3 separate regions of the Mus musculus genome follow, and regions 1 and 2 are each reported to be linked to region 3. The links are microRNA targets in miRTarBase. Many come from high-throughput screens and were not tested one by one. Region 3 holds a microRNA gene; each other region holds the end of a gene's coding sequence.

The links. Region 3 holds the annotated microRNA mmu-miR-31-5p (AGGCAAGAUGCUGGCAUAGCUG, at 2,930-2,951, shown strand). A microRNA usually pairs through its seed, bases 2 to 8, with sites in the 3' UTR of a target mRNA and lowers its output. Matches are read on the target gene's strand: a 7mer-m8 pairs with bases 2 to 8, a 7mer-A1 pairs with bases 2 to 7 and ends in A, and an 8mer does both.
Region 1: the mRNA of Syn3 is a reported target of mmu-miR-31-5p. The part of its 3' UTR that is shown has no 7-base or 8-base seed match.
Region 2: the mRNA of Fzd4 is a reported target of mmu-miR-31-5p. Seed matches in the 3' UTR shown: 7mer-A1 at 2,672-2,678.

The regions. Positions count from the first base shown.
Region 1 is chr10:86,052,164-86,056,404 of GRCm38, reverse strand. It overlaps Syn3 (synapsin III), which reads left to right. Exons shown (of 14, transcript NM_013722.3): 14 at 741-4,241. The coding sequence ends at 873. Among named protein-coding and RNA genes, the nearest start is that of Gm51812, 15 kb to the left of the region's middle.
Region 2 is chr7:89,407,944-89,412,184 of GRCm38, reverse strand. It overlaps Fzd4 (frizzled class receptor 4), which reads right to left. Exons shown (of 2, transcript NM_008055.4): 2 at 2,075-4,241. The coding sequence ends at 3,825. Among named protein-coding and RNA genes, the nearest start is that of Fzd4, 5.7 kb to the right of the region's middle.
Region 3 is chr4:88,909,324-88,913,564 of GRCm38, reverse strand. Mir31 (microRNA 31) reads left to right here and starts at 2,903; the gene lies at 2,903-3,008. Gm49890 (predicted gene, 49890) reads left to right here. Exons shown (of 3, transcript NR_132735.1): 3 at 2,855-3,711.

The DNA of each region.
Region 1 (4,241 bases), not on the chromosome of region 3:
ATAAATAAAAGCTTTTAAAAACGATTTTCTAAAAGACGTAGGGAGGAGGGGATCTGTTTTGGCTTCCAGGTCACAGTTCATATTGAGAGAAATCAGGAAAGAAACTTGACCAGGAACTTGACGTAGTAACTATGGAAGAATGCTATTTGCAAACGTGCTCCCTGACGCATGCTTAGCTAGCTTTCTCACACAGCCCAAAACCACCTGTCCAGTGAATGATGCTGCTTACAGAGGCTGGACCCTCCTGCATCTATCAACAAGCAAGGCACTTCTCCACAGACATGCTCAGGGACACCTCTGATCTGGACTGCCACGGACCCTCAACTGAGACAAGAGCTCTAGAACAGGAACTGCCTGACTTCTCAGCCAATTCTGGGAAATCTGAGGGGAAAACTGGAGTCTGGCCTATCCAACTGTGGCTGACATGCCCCACAAAACACAGAGCAACCTGGGATGGAGGGACGCTTATAAGCAGTGCATGCTCCCTGCTTCTTGCTAGAAGGCCTATCTAAGCCAAATACTTGTCCCTAGGAACCCCAATTTCTGTACCTAAGAAGGGCAATACTACGCACCTTGCAAGTTCTAGGCTAGCATCATGTTCACACTGCAATGCCTGATTTCTGGTCTCACCATCTTTTAATGACCCCGTGCTCAGCCAGCAGGCTTCAGGGCCAGCCCCAGACTCATTTCCTTGGGAGCTCCAGCCTTGACCATCCCAAACTTTTTGCTTTCTGTTTCAGCAAATCTCAGTCCCTGACTAACAGCCTCAGCACATCAGATACCTCCCATCGAGGGACCCCAAGTGAAGATGAGGCCAAGGCTGAGACAATCCGCAACCTGAGGAAGTCCTTCGCCAGTCTCTTCTCTGACTAGCCCCTATCCAGGCTGGAAGACAGGCAGGCAGGCAAGAAGACTCGATCACTGGAGCCTTTCTCTGGTTCCCTCCTTCTCAGCCTTGGTTCCCAACGGAAATATGCTTCCTAAAGATGCAGGAACTGATGATCTACAGCCATTCCCCCCTCCTTGACCATGACATTCCAATGCTGTCTGACTGAATGGTAGCCTTGGGAGCCCCTAGGTTCCTCAACACGGGCCCTCTAGACAGACAAGGCATCACTACATCCACCATATGCCTGCTCCCCTGTCGCCGGTACCAAGTGAGATGTCTGTGTGGCTTGTTTTTGCAGTCTTATTAGTATTTTGCTTGCCTTTGGGCAGAGGCCCTCTTCTAGGCCTTGACTCACCTTCATCAAATGCATACATTATAGTCGGACCTCAGCAACACAAGAGGCAATACTTTTTAATGGTGGTTTTGCAAACAGAAATAGGGAAGCCCAGCCTGGGAGCCCACTACTCACCTGAAGCTAACTAATGCCATCCCTGCTGGGGGTAGGCTGACAAAGGCCCCCATCACAGCTGGCCCTCATGGTGACCTTGATGTCAATAGAAAGAAGCTAGACCCTATGCAACAAGTGGGACCTTTCAGAACAGGACAGAGGAAAACCCACAGAGCCAACAGCAGGAATCCAGAGGAGAGAGCTTGTGTTCCCAGGGGAGAGGGACGCAGGAGGATTGTGCCTGTCTGACCTCACACAGAATCTGTTCTTTTTCATCCTTAAGGCTAGATGGGAACCCAGAGAAAGTGGATGGCTCCCTGTCACAGGATCAGAAGACACAGTGATGGCTCAGCATCCTACCTGCTCTGAAAGAGGAGTTAGTAGGTCACTCAGTTTATAGTGGGAGATCCTTTAAAAACAGGGTGTGTGGTTTCTTTAGGAGCTACTGAAGCCTTTTGGAATTTCTTCCAGAAAAAGTTCCACTCCAACCTTGTTGTCGGCGTAGCCACGATGACTACGATGGTTTGCTGCAGAGCTAGGCAAAGTGGTCCTGATTCCCTTTCCAGTGGTCTTTCCCCTGCACCAGATGGCCTCCCAGGACCACATCACCAAGCACCTGGTGCTAGGAACATTGTAGGTGCCAGAAGCCGCCTCCTGGTCCCCAGACAGACCCAGAACATCAGAACAGAGCCATGTTCCTCTCTATACAGCCCCTGTGGCCTCCCGAGGCGTGCCCTCGCTGCACTGTCTGAGGCAGGGGAGTTATTAACTGAAGAAGCGTCTGGTTATGCTTGAGTTCTGCACATTGCTTGGTGATCATCTGAGGCCTCCTTGGGTCTCCAGGAGCATAGAGGCCATCACTATGATTTCTGGGGACTTTGTTTTCTTGAAACAATCTCACTCAGCAACTCAGGCTGGCATAGAATATATTATGTAGCCCACACAAGTCTCAAACTCAGCGATTCTCCTGCTTTATCAGCCTCCCAAGTGCTGAGATTACATTTATGAACCACCACGCCCAGCAAGCAATCCATCACTTTTGGGTCCTCCCAGCCCAGACATGAGTGGCAGAAACAAAGGGTAAAGACCCTGTCCTGCCTTGGACCACTTAGACCCCTGCATTTCTGCAGAATGCACCTTCCAGCTGGTTTCCAGCAGGGATCAGCTCAGTATAAAAAGTGGTAGCTTTGCCACTGGCTGCTAGAGATCCGGTTAGCCCTCAAGGTCATCCTCTCTCTCCTTACCTCTTCCCTCTCCCTCTTGATCAAGTCAGTGTTGAGAGCAAGCGTACTGGAGTTATTTCAGAAGCCCTCCTTGGCCTCCCTTTCCATATCCTTGGTTTGGAGTGATAAGTTGCAGCTGTGATGTAGGATCATGTAGGTCCCGTGACTGCTGAGGCCATCATTTGGAGCTGCACATACAGGACTTAGGCCCAATTGAAATTGACCAGAATCAACAGTAAATAGGCTGTGGTGTTAAGGTGTAGAGGCCCTCCCAGTACCAAGAAAGCCCAGCCTGTTTTATTGCTAACCTCCAGGAATTCAGTGTGAGGAGGACAGTCCCCGAGCATGGCCACACCCAGCCTGCCCACATCTCCCTCATTTTACTCAACTGCTCTTCTATCGCAGGATGAGGCTGCAAAAGCTTCCAGAATGCTTTTGGAGGCTAATGGGGATGACCCAGCACGTGGTGAGACACATGGCACAACTGCCAGTGCAATCTCCTAGACACATCTGCTCCCTGGTAAGGGAGGAAGTCTGGAGGCCAGCACCCCCCAAGCCATACTTTAGGTAGGTCAACCAAAGGAGAAAGAAGATCAGTCTGTGAGTCCACAGAACACTGCTTCTTCCTCCTGCCCCTCCCTCCCTCCTCTGCGCTTAGCTCTTGCACCTTTCTCTAGAGCCTCTGAAGAATGCGAGGGGAGACAGAAGGAAGGAGTGTGGTGTGGGAAGTAAGATTTGAAGTATCAAAAGAGAGTCTGTGAAGTGAGCTCCACAGAAGAGGATGTGGATGCTAATGCCTGGGTAATGACCTGAATGAGCACATTAGGACGTAACAGCCTAAAGCCCCATTACCTCATCTCGGACGGTAACTCTTGCTAGTTCCTGATATTTGCTTCAGTGACAGTCTGCTTCCCCACCAGATCCTGAGAAGCCAGGCCTTGCTCATGGGGCATGTGTGGAGGAAAATCAGAACACCAGCGGCACAGAAGCTCCTGACAATGACAGCTGAAGTTGCTCCTGAAGCGTACTCCCGTGCACACACACACACACACACACACACACACACACACACACACACACACTGACAGACACAGAGATAAAAACAGAGACAGGCAGGCCAGCAGGCAGACACTGACAGACAGGCAGGCAGGCAGGCAGACAGATGGACGGACGGACAGGTAGACAGGAGAACTTTGCATTCTGAACAAGGGTGAGAGGCACGCTTTGAGTGACTTAAGAACACAGGGAACATCGGTGGCAGCCATCACTCTACAGCACTCTCAGCCTTGTCTAAATGATAGAACAGCTCCTGACACACAGTGGAGTAAAAACCAACAGCAGGAAGTTTCTCAAAATGTAGGCCATGGCCCTGGACATAACTACTTATAAAGGCCCAGAAAACTTTGCTTCAGAGCACAGCACATTGAACTTGTAGTTAGAGAGCTCAAAGCCTGCAGCTGGATCAGCCCGCTGAGACTGGGCTGCATTCTGAAGCCGGGTGGGGAGCAATATATGTCAATCACCAGCCTTGCTAAGGACCCGTTCCTTTGACAGGCAGAACCAGTGGCTCCATAAATGACCATGTGGCCAAAATACTCTCATAGTCTGCCCTTTAAAATATCTCAGCAATCGATGACATCCCTCCAGGATCTCAACTACAGTAACACAAATGTCTTTCAAA
Region 2 (4,241 bases), not on the chromosome of region 3:
TTTGTAGGAGCAAAATGCTCTCGCAGGAGTTCCAAGATCTTTGACCTTGGCATGAAGGGTAAATGATAACCTGGGTCCTTTGACAGACATACTGCAAATTCAGACAGGGACTGTGAAGTCAAGTACAATAAGAAGACAGAGACCATTGTCCAAGTCCTGGGGCTCATCATGACTGGCAGGGACAGAAACTCTCTCCATTGCCCTCTGTCTCAGGATGGAATTTACACATTAAGCACTCCCTGCCAAAGTCTGTTCCTTCTTGGTTCCCCTTCTTAACTGCCACTATGGGACCCTTAGCAGATACATCACAGGGGTGAGACCTCTTTCAATTGTGCATGTTCTTTGAGGACTAAAGATGTCAACTTCATCACAGTGTCCCATGGCCCAACTTTGCACTCAATACCAAAGTCACTAAATTCTGTGCGTGCAGGGCTGAGTACACAGCTGGAAGAGTTAAATAGAACCACAGATCAGAACCTGGTAACGATAAGTCTCTGGTTCTAGCTTTAGGGATACAAAGGTTAGGGTACAAGTAAAAGAATGACAGAAAGGGAACTCTTAGGAAACAGTGTCACCTGTCCCTTGTTTCAGGCCTCTGGGCACCAAGCCAGCTAAGCAGCCATCTCAGCAACCAGGAAATGGGTCACCATAAAGGAAGAAAGATATGATCAGCTGAGTAGCTCAGCCAGTGGCTCTGGCCACTTCTACACTACGCAGTTCCTCTGCCCTATGGTTCGGCTTTTATGATGCAAGACCAAGGAGTTTGTCAAAGAGGAGGTTATACAGAGGTGTCCTTAGTTGTGCTTAGTAGAATATCTGGAGCTTGAGGACTTTTCTTGAAAATTCCAATCACATGTACTTATTCCAGATATCAGAGGAAGGGAAACAAACCTCACTTTCCCCTCAGCATGCTGCTGTCCTCAAATATGTCTGTGGGAGTACCATGGAACAACCCAAATCCTGACCCTGCCACTTCCAAAGCCACAGTAGATGCTGGAGCAGGTCCTTGGGGGTCTACTCTCTGTTTTCCTAGGGAGTTTATATGGAGATTGTCATGAACCAAAGCTGGTGCTTTCTGTCATTAATTTAGAAGGCATCATAGGAGAGGCTGAGACCTAGGAAGAGATTTGTGGGAGTGATGCGAAGAAGTGATACTGATGCTTAATGGGCATCGCTAAGGGACTCCTCAGCCGTCAAGTTCGTTTCCTGGAAACTGGAATCACTCTCCCCCATCTGAGATAGGAAAGGAAAGACCAGACAACTCTGTGTTGTTGCTAAGACTATTAAGCCAGTCTGAACTGCCAGGCCCCTTCGCTCAAACATAACTTCCCCTAAAAAGGCAAATTGCCTGGGAAGATAGAAAAATTGTCAGTACACTAGCTCTAGGATCCAGAATGCAGGTGGCTGGTTTCACCCAAAGGGTTGTGGTTGCCAAGGTTATTGTTGATACATGCTCAGCACCTACTGCTCTCTCTTTGGAGGTTGCAGTCTTGGACCTACAATCACTGAAGCATTACAAAGAGAAGTGCATTACAAAGTCTGCACAGCAAAGCTAGTCAGCTACTACTGCCTTGCTTTTCATCCCTTTCCTGTGCCAGAGTCACTGCACAACTCCCAAGACACCATAGCAGAGCGTGAGTAAGGGCAGAATCTGCCCTTGGGTGCACACTCCAGGGCCCTGGACAGCTATGGGAACTGTCTGTAAGCAGTGCAGGGCGTGTCCATTTCGCCTTTCATAGGCAGCTCATTCAGGAGTTAAATTGGCCCTTCCATGGATCAGTTCTCCTGCTCCTGGAGCCTTATGCCCTAGTCCAGTCTAGGTACTCAGGCTGCATAAATCACCAGGGGCCACCCAGGTCCACGGAGGTCTCTATCTCACCAGCCCCAAGCCTCTCATTTCCAAACACACGACAGGCCTATAGCATCTTGATATCAGATATCTACAGAACTTGCAAAAACAAAAGCTGTGGGGAGAAAATATAGTCAGAAACAAAGCTCAAACTGAGAGAGAGAGAGAGAGAGAGAGAGAGAGAGAGAGAGAGAGAGAGAGAGAGACCCAGTTTTTAAAATTTATATTTCCAGAATTTGAACACCTATTTGCCTATTTGGGATTTGGAATCCATGAAATGTTTCTCCACAAAGTAGGATTGGACAAAACATTAAGGGCTCTCTTACTAAAAGCATGAATCAATAAATAACTGAAGTTGCTGAAGCAGACAGGCATGAAATACAAGGAGAGCAACCTGTGACATGTACAATGTTTTGTCCCAGAGATCTGGTGATTAAAAGGCCTAAGGCAGGTTAAGAAAAAGGCCAGTCACAATTTTAAAAGAACTTCAACTTTTGATAGGTTGCTAGCGGGTACCCCCCTTGTGAGGGACTTAAAGCATAAATTTTAAAGGCTTTGGATACCCCAGCAAAGGCAATTAAGACTCGTGCTGTTAGACTTTGCAGCTCATTTCACTCCGTCTACACCATATCCCCTGCTAACCAATCCAGCCTCTGGCCAGCATTCTGGAGGTTCATTAGGCATCATATAAATACTCCAGGCCACACTGCCTCCAGTGAAATCTTATAAGAACCTTTGTCCATTACTAAGGAACAATTATGCACCACGTATTTGGATCTGCTGTCCTTAGTTGCCTTTGCAAAGCTGAATAAGTCTCCATTGTGGCAAGTAGACCAAACTCCGATAACATTCTTATGCTACAGGGGGGAAAGGCACTATCACACTAAGAATGCAAGTTGACCACAGTTTTAAAGTCAATTGAGTATACTATGTCATGGTCCAAGAATGTGCTTTTAATTGTAATTGACACACACAAATTACACAGTTAATCTGTGTGAATGCAAAGTTGCCAAGAAATTTAACATTTCAGTTCTTCCAGACTGGCGTCTGCCTAGATGCAATCACACAAACTAAAATATTTTAAGTCCCAATTGCTTAACATTGCTTAATGCAATAGGTCTCTAGGGTCGGTAAGGTAAGTCAACTTAGCAAATCTCATTTTTCTCTGAATTAAGTGATTGTCAGAAAGTGAATCACCTTCCCTTTTCCTCTCATTAGGCATGCTGCAGTGCAAAAAAAAAAAATCCTATAAAAATAACCTTTTTTTTTTTTGAGTCATTAGTTTAAAGTGAAGAAAACAGGGGCTGCCTAGAATTAGGGATGTTGAAATTTCAGGAGAGAGAAATCCACTGGATACCTTACGTGTGTTAGTACAGTACTTTTGTTTGCTCAAACAATTCTGTTTTACGACAAAGGCACTGAAGGATTTTGACACCACCTCTTGGGAGTGCGCTACAGAGTTCTAAACAGCAGACAGTGTAGGCCAGAAGATGTTTATGTTAGACCAGCCAAACTATAAAACTCTGCAACACGTCTCCCAACCCAGCATTTCCAGTGTTTATAGATCACTTTGCTATCTGCAAGACCTAGTTACTATTTAAAATTTAAAAGGGTTTTAAAAATTAATCTTTCTCCTTGCATGTTATCAACTCACAGTTGAAATCCCACCCAGTAGGAGCAAACACTATCACCCTGGGCTTCAGGAATCTAGGCGGGACCTCCACGGACTCCAAGCTGTGACCTGCTAAAGTGATCAACATTTTGATTTTTCACAGCTTTGAAAACCTCTAACTGGCTTTTCCATTTTGGACCATTCCAAAGTCTGCAGTGAAGCCATTGGTCTTCTGATGCTGAGTTGGGTGAGTGGTGGTGGGCTGACGTGGGTGTGTGTGGGCTGAAGTGTTTCTAAGTTTGTTCAAACTGAGATTCCCTGCATCACTTCCTTCACAATGAGGAACGAGGAAGCCGGCTAGTCTTATACCACAGTCTCGTTGCCTTTTCCTGGCTTCACCCAACCATTCCCCCTCTTCTCTCTCTTTACCTTCCCAGAATTCACCAATCGGTTAGAACACTTTTGCCACGTGTGAAGAGTTTTGGCAGACCAAATCCACATGCCTGAAGTGATGCCCACGAGCAAAGACATAAAAATTTTCAACATTTCAACTGCCATGTTTGAGTCATCTGCAGAATATCGAAAGAGTGCCCAGTTTGAGATTTCATAGAAATAACAGGCAATCACACAGGTTGCAGGAACCGTGTACAGTACTGAGAAGACCCCGATCTTGACCATTAGCCTTTCCAACTTGTCTGTCTTTGTCCCGTCTTTTTGAAGATTGGACCGGATTTTGAATAAGGCCACCAAACCCGCCGCAATGAACAGCGTTCCAATCAC
Region 3 (4,241 bases):
ATCTAAGAAATGGTATTTTTTCCACTATAACCTACAGATACATGTACGCGTGTATAATATCACACAATATCTGTGTGTGTGTGTGTGCATATGCCTTTTTGCAGCCCAGCAGGTGCAAGGCAACACACATCTGACTTCTATCAGTTAGGGAGTAGCTTTAAGCACATCCTGTGAAATTGTCTGTTCCCACAAGTAATCCCAACACATTCAGTAAATGTTCTTCCCCCCCCCCCCCACAGTTATGTTCTTGATTGGACCACAAATTTTTCCATAATGCTGTACTTAAAAACTAGTACATTCTGCTCTTCGTCCATAATCATCTGCAACTCCCCATACCAGCTTTCTTAGGACAACTATTTTAAACATTAAAACTGGAATAAACTATATTCCAGTTCTAGAAAGAGTCACTGTGTGCGGCTCTGCCAGCTTTGTAGTCACCATGGTTGAGTTGGTTCCCTTCCTTATCTCTGCATAGGAAGTACAGCAGTGTAGCTAGCTCTCTCCTGCTCCCATGTGTCCAGGACATGTGAGCACTGTTTCTAGAGTGGCCTCAAGTCAGTGTTTACAAAGGAAAACAGACTGCTAGTTTCAAAGTAAAAATTAGTTTGGATTTTATTTGGATATTCACACTAATAAAGAGACACAAAAGAAAAAATCCTTTTAGGATATGAAAATTATAAATGGACCATGTACCTCAAGGGGTTTTACTGCCAGCAGCTCTTATGATTCAACTTTAACTGCTAAGGGTTTACAATTAGGGATTTGTAATCCATTTTTTTGTCTTGTTTTATTTTCTAGTTGTAACGTAATTATGATTAGGCTTGAAGTTTATGTCACGAGGGGGATATATTACCAGCAGTCACTTGGAATCCTTGACTCATTTAGTATCATAGAAATATTAAAATGAAAAAACAACCCACAATGTGTAACAATGCTAACAACTTTCTTTACAGGGGTAGTGTAATGGTAAGAGTGACTTGTCAACGGACAGAATATATCATCATCTGGCTGATAGGTGATAGGAATGCCTGTGGGATTATCTTGTTTCCGTTAACTGATGTGAGAACATCCCTGCACATAAAGAGGAGAGTTGAGAAACTCTGTATGTTCTGACAATGGACACAGAGTGAGCAGCTGTGTCAGCCTGGACACCCCACCCCACACCCAGCACACTGCCTTGACTCCCTGCCGTGGTGAACTGCCCTTTGAACTGCGAGCTAGCGGAAGCGCTTTCTCCCTTCAGCTATATGAGGTTATTTTATCACAGCAGCAGAAAAGAAACTGAGACGGGGTACAAAACTATCTACTTCTGAACGTTTGAACTATAAATTGAGGCATTTAAAGTAGGGGAACAGGAAGTAGGAGGGAGAGACGAATTACTGTATTGCCCCATCTTTCCCCTAAATGAGCCTCATCAAATAGCCCGTAAGTTCTCCGATAATTCTTGTCTCTGGTAATTACTGTCTCTGGTAAATCAAATAGTCACCCACAGCCATGCTTCTGTGTAACCTGAATCCGAAATTTCCATGTGATACAATGAATCTGAAAAAGGTCACAGGGTGTTTTTAATTGTGTAGCATGTACCTTCTAAAGCGATGTAACCTGTGTTTGCATCTTAATCACAAGCATAACAGGTGAGGAAAATGAAAAAAAAATGAGCTTTTCTCTTTTTTGAGAAACTGCTCCATGAAATCTTCATATTATGCTGTATTTTGTTACTTAATCTATTCATTTGACATTCATATTTGAACCATGTGCTGTTCTGGGTGAACCAAGAACTATTAGATATATTTACAATAATGAGTATCATCTCTTAAATATTCTTACATCAATTAGTATCTTTACACTCTTTTACCTGACTCCAGGCAAGAAAGTGAGGGGCTTGTGCAATAGCTCCTTCATAACCTAGCTGACCAAGAAAAGGTGCTGCACGTAGTTCACGTATTCCACCGCGTGACTATATGTGTCATGCTCAACTTTTGCTTCTAGGAAACACAGTTGATGTTAGCTACATCCAAGTGAGTAAATGCTGTAGCTCTGTTGCACTGTTACTCATTGCTTGTAAGTAATAGTTTTACAGAAACCTAGTAAAGCAGGAAACAAAAGTAATATATAATTCTAGTTACTGTAAAATAATAAAATCACCTAAAATTGTCACTTCTGTACCCTTCATGAAAAATGTTATAAGCATAATCTTGTTAGGTATACATTTTACACAGAAATTATCATATATAATGCCATTATTGTGCCTTAATCTTCTATAAGGACCAGGAAAGAATATTTTATAACTACATCATAATTCATTTAGTTGGTGTCTGTAATATCGATGGACATTCATAATCTTTCTAGCCTTTAACAATTAAGACTAATATTGTAGTGAATATCTTTGAACGAAGAACTTTTTCAGTTGTATTTGTGAAAAATATTCCACTCTGAGAATTCTTGGCTTGAAGAGATTTATGTTTAAGGGCTCATGGAGCAATGACACATCCACACCCCATGAGGTGACAGCTTAATATTATTAAGGGGCATCTAAATGGCCAAGATTAGCCAAGCAGAATATTATGCTATACACAAGACTGTACAGAGGTCACTGCACTCCTATGGACTATGAAAATGGCTGTATTCATCGTTGTCAGTTTATGACTTAATTTTACTTCGGAACCACCTTGTCATTTCACAAGCAGCAAATATTTTGAGATCCATGTTATTCAAGGAATATTTAAAACAGGAACTTAACCACAACCTCCCTGTGCATAACTGCCTTCAAAATTGGACACTCTAAGGACCACTGCATTGTTACATTAGGAAACAGCTTGTGTTTTCAACTAATGGGTGTGTTTTCTCTCCTCAGGTGGAAGGAGAGATTGTGGAAAAGCATAACAACGAAGAGGGATGGTATTGCTCCTGTAACTCGGAACTGGAGAGGAGGCAAGATGCTGGCATAGCTGTTGAACTGAGAACCTGCTATGCCAACATATTGCCATCTTTCCTGTCTGACAGCAGCTTGGCTACCTCCGTCCTGTTCCTCCTTGTCTTGCTACAAGCCATCCATGATATGTAGGGCCCTGTGACTTGGTCTGTCTCGCCCTGACTTCTCTCCAGTCCTATACCGAATCACTCGCTCTGTTCTAGCCACACTGGCCTTTTGGGGATGTTCTTGGCTGCACCAGGAATATTCCCGCCTCTACTGCCCTGTCTTATCTTTTGGGCATCAGTGGAGAACTCTTTCACCATGGCACTGTCTATAAAACCTTACATGTGCCCAGCCACCGTTCACCTCATGACCCTGCTCTGACTTGTCAGAATCATTGGGCACTACCTGTCCATGTTCATTTGCTTAGTTGCTGCTTGATTTACTGTACCAGGTTGTAAGTCCTTTAAGGGACACCCGTCTTCATTTCTGTTCACCATACCCCTAAACCCTGACGTTTGCAAGTCCTCAAGTCATGTCTTTGCGACTCTACCCTGGACTTATTGTGCAACAGAAGTGTCAAATAATGAGATTTTAATCATGCCATGAATGGCTGTGATGAAACACTGGTTTATAAGTAACAAAGAATAAACAAATGCTACTGATTTCTAAGCCTGCAAACCCAACATCTTAAAGGAGCCACAATAAAGTTACCATCAGGTCTACAACTCAGAGAAGACAAAATATTGTATGGAAAAGAGATTATATTCAAAATAAAAGTTACTTTTGCGGTTTCAGCATGGGTGTCACTTCTGTGTTCTTAGTTAAACCATAATTTTCTCTGTTGCAAGATCATACTGACCACACAGGATCCTTGAGGTAAGTTAGTGAGATTAGTCTTAATCATGTCTAAATGCTTTTATCTAGAAAATGTATGATGTGCTCATACTGGTAAAAATGTCATGAGTTTTAATTATTTTACTGCCTGGAAGTTTCTTTACTTAGAAGCGGGTGATCTTAAGTGGAAATTCCAGACCTATAGAGCATGTAGCATTCTACATGAAGACACAGAAGTGTTGAAACCAGCTAATTATCATGGGTCTCAAATGTGTCCTCTGGTTCCTTCCCACCCCTACCTTCCTTTTTCTGGGGTTATTTGTTGTCTACCAACCTGTGGGTTTCATGCATCCACTACATCATTATAATAAGAATGCTTGACTATCTGATATTCATATTGTAAAGCTTTACAGTTTTAGTAAGAAGTTTTGTTCCTAATACACTAAATTTTATATTCACTTGATGCTTCTTCACAGAGGAAAATAACTGT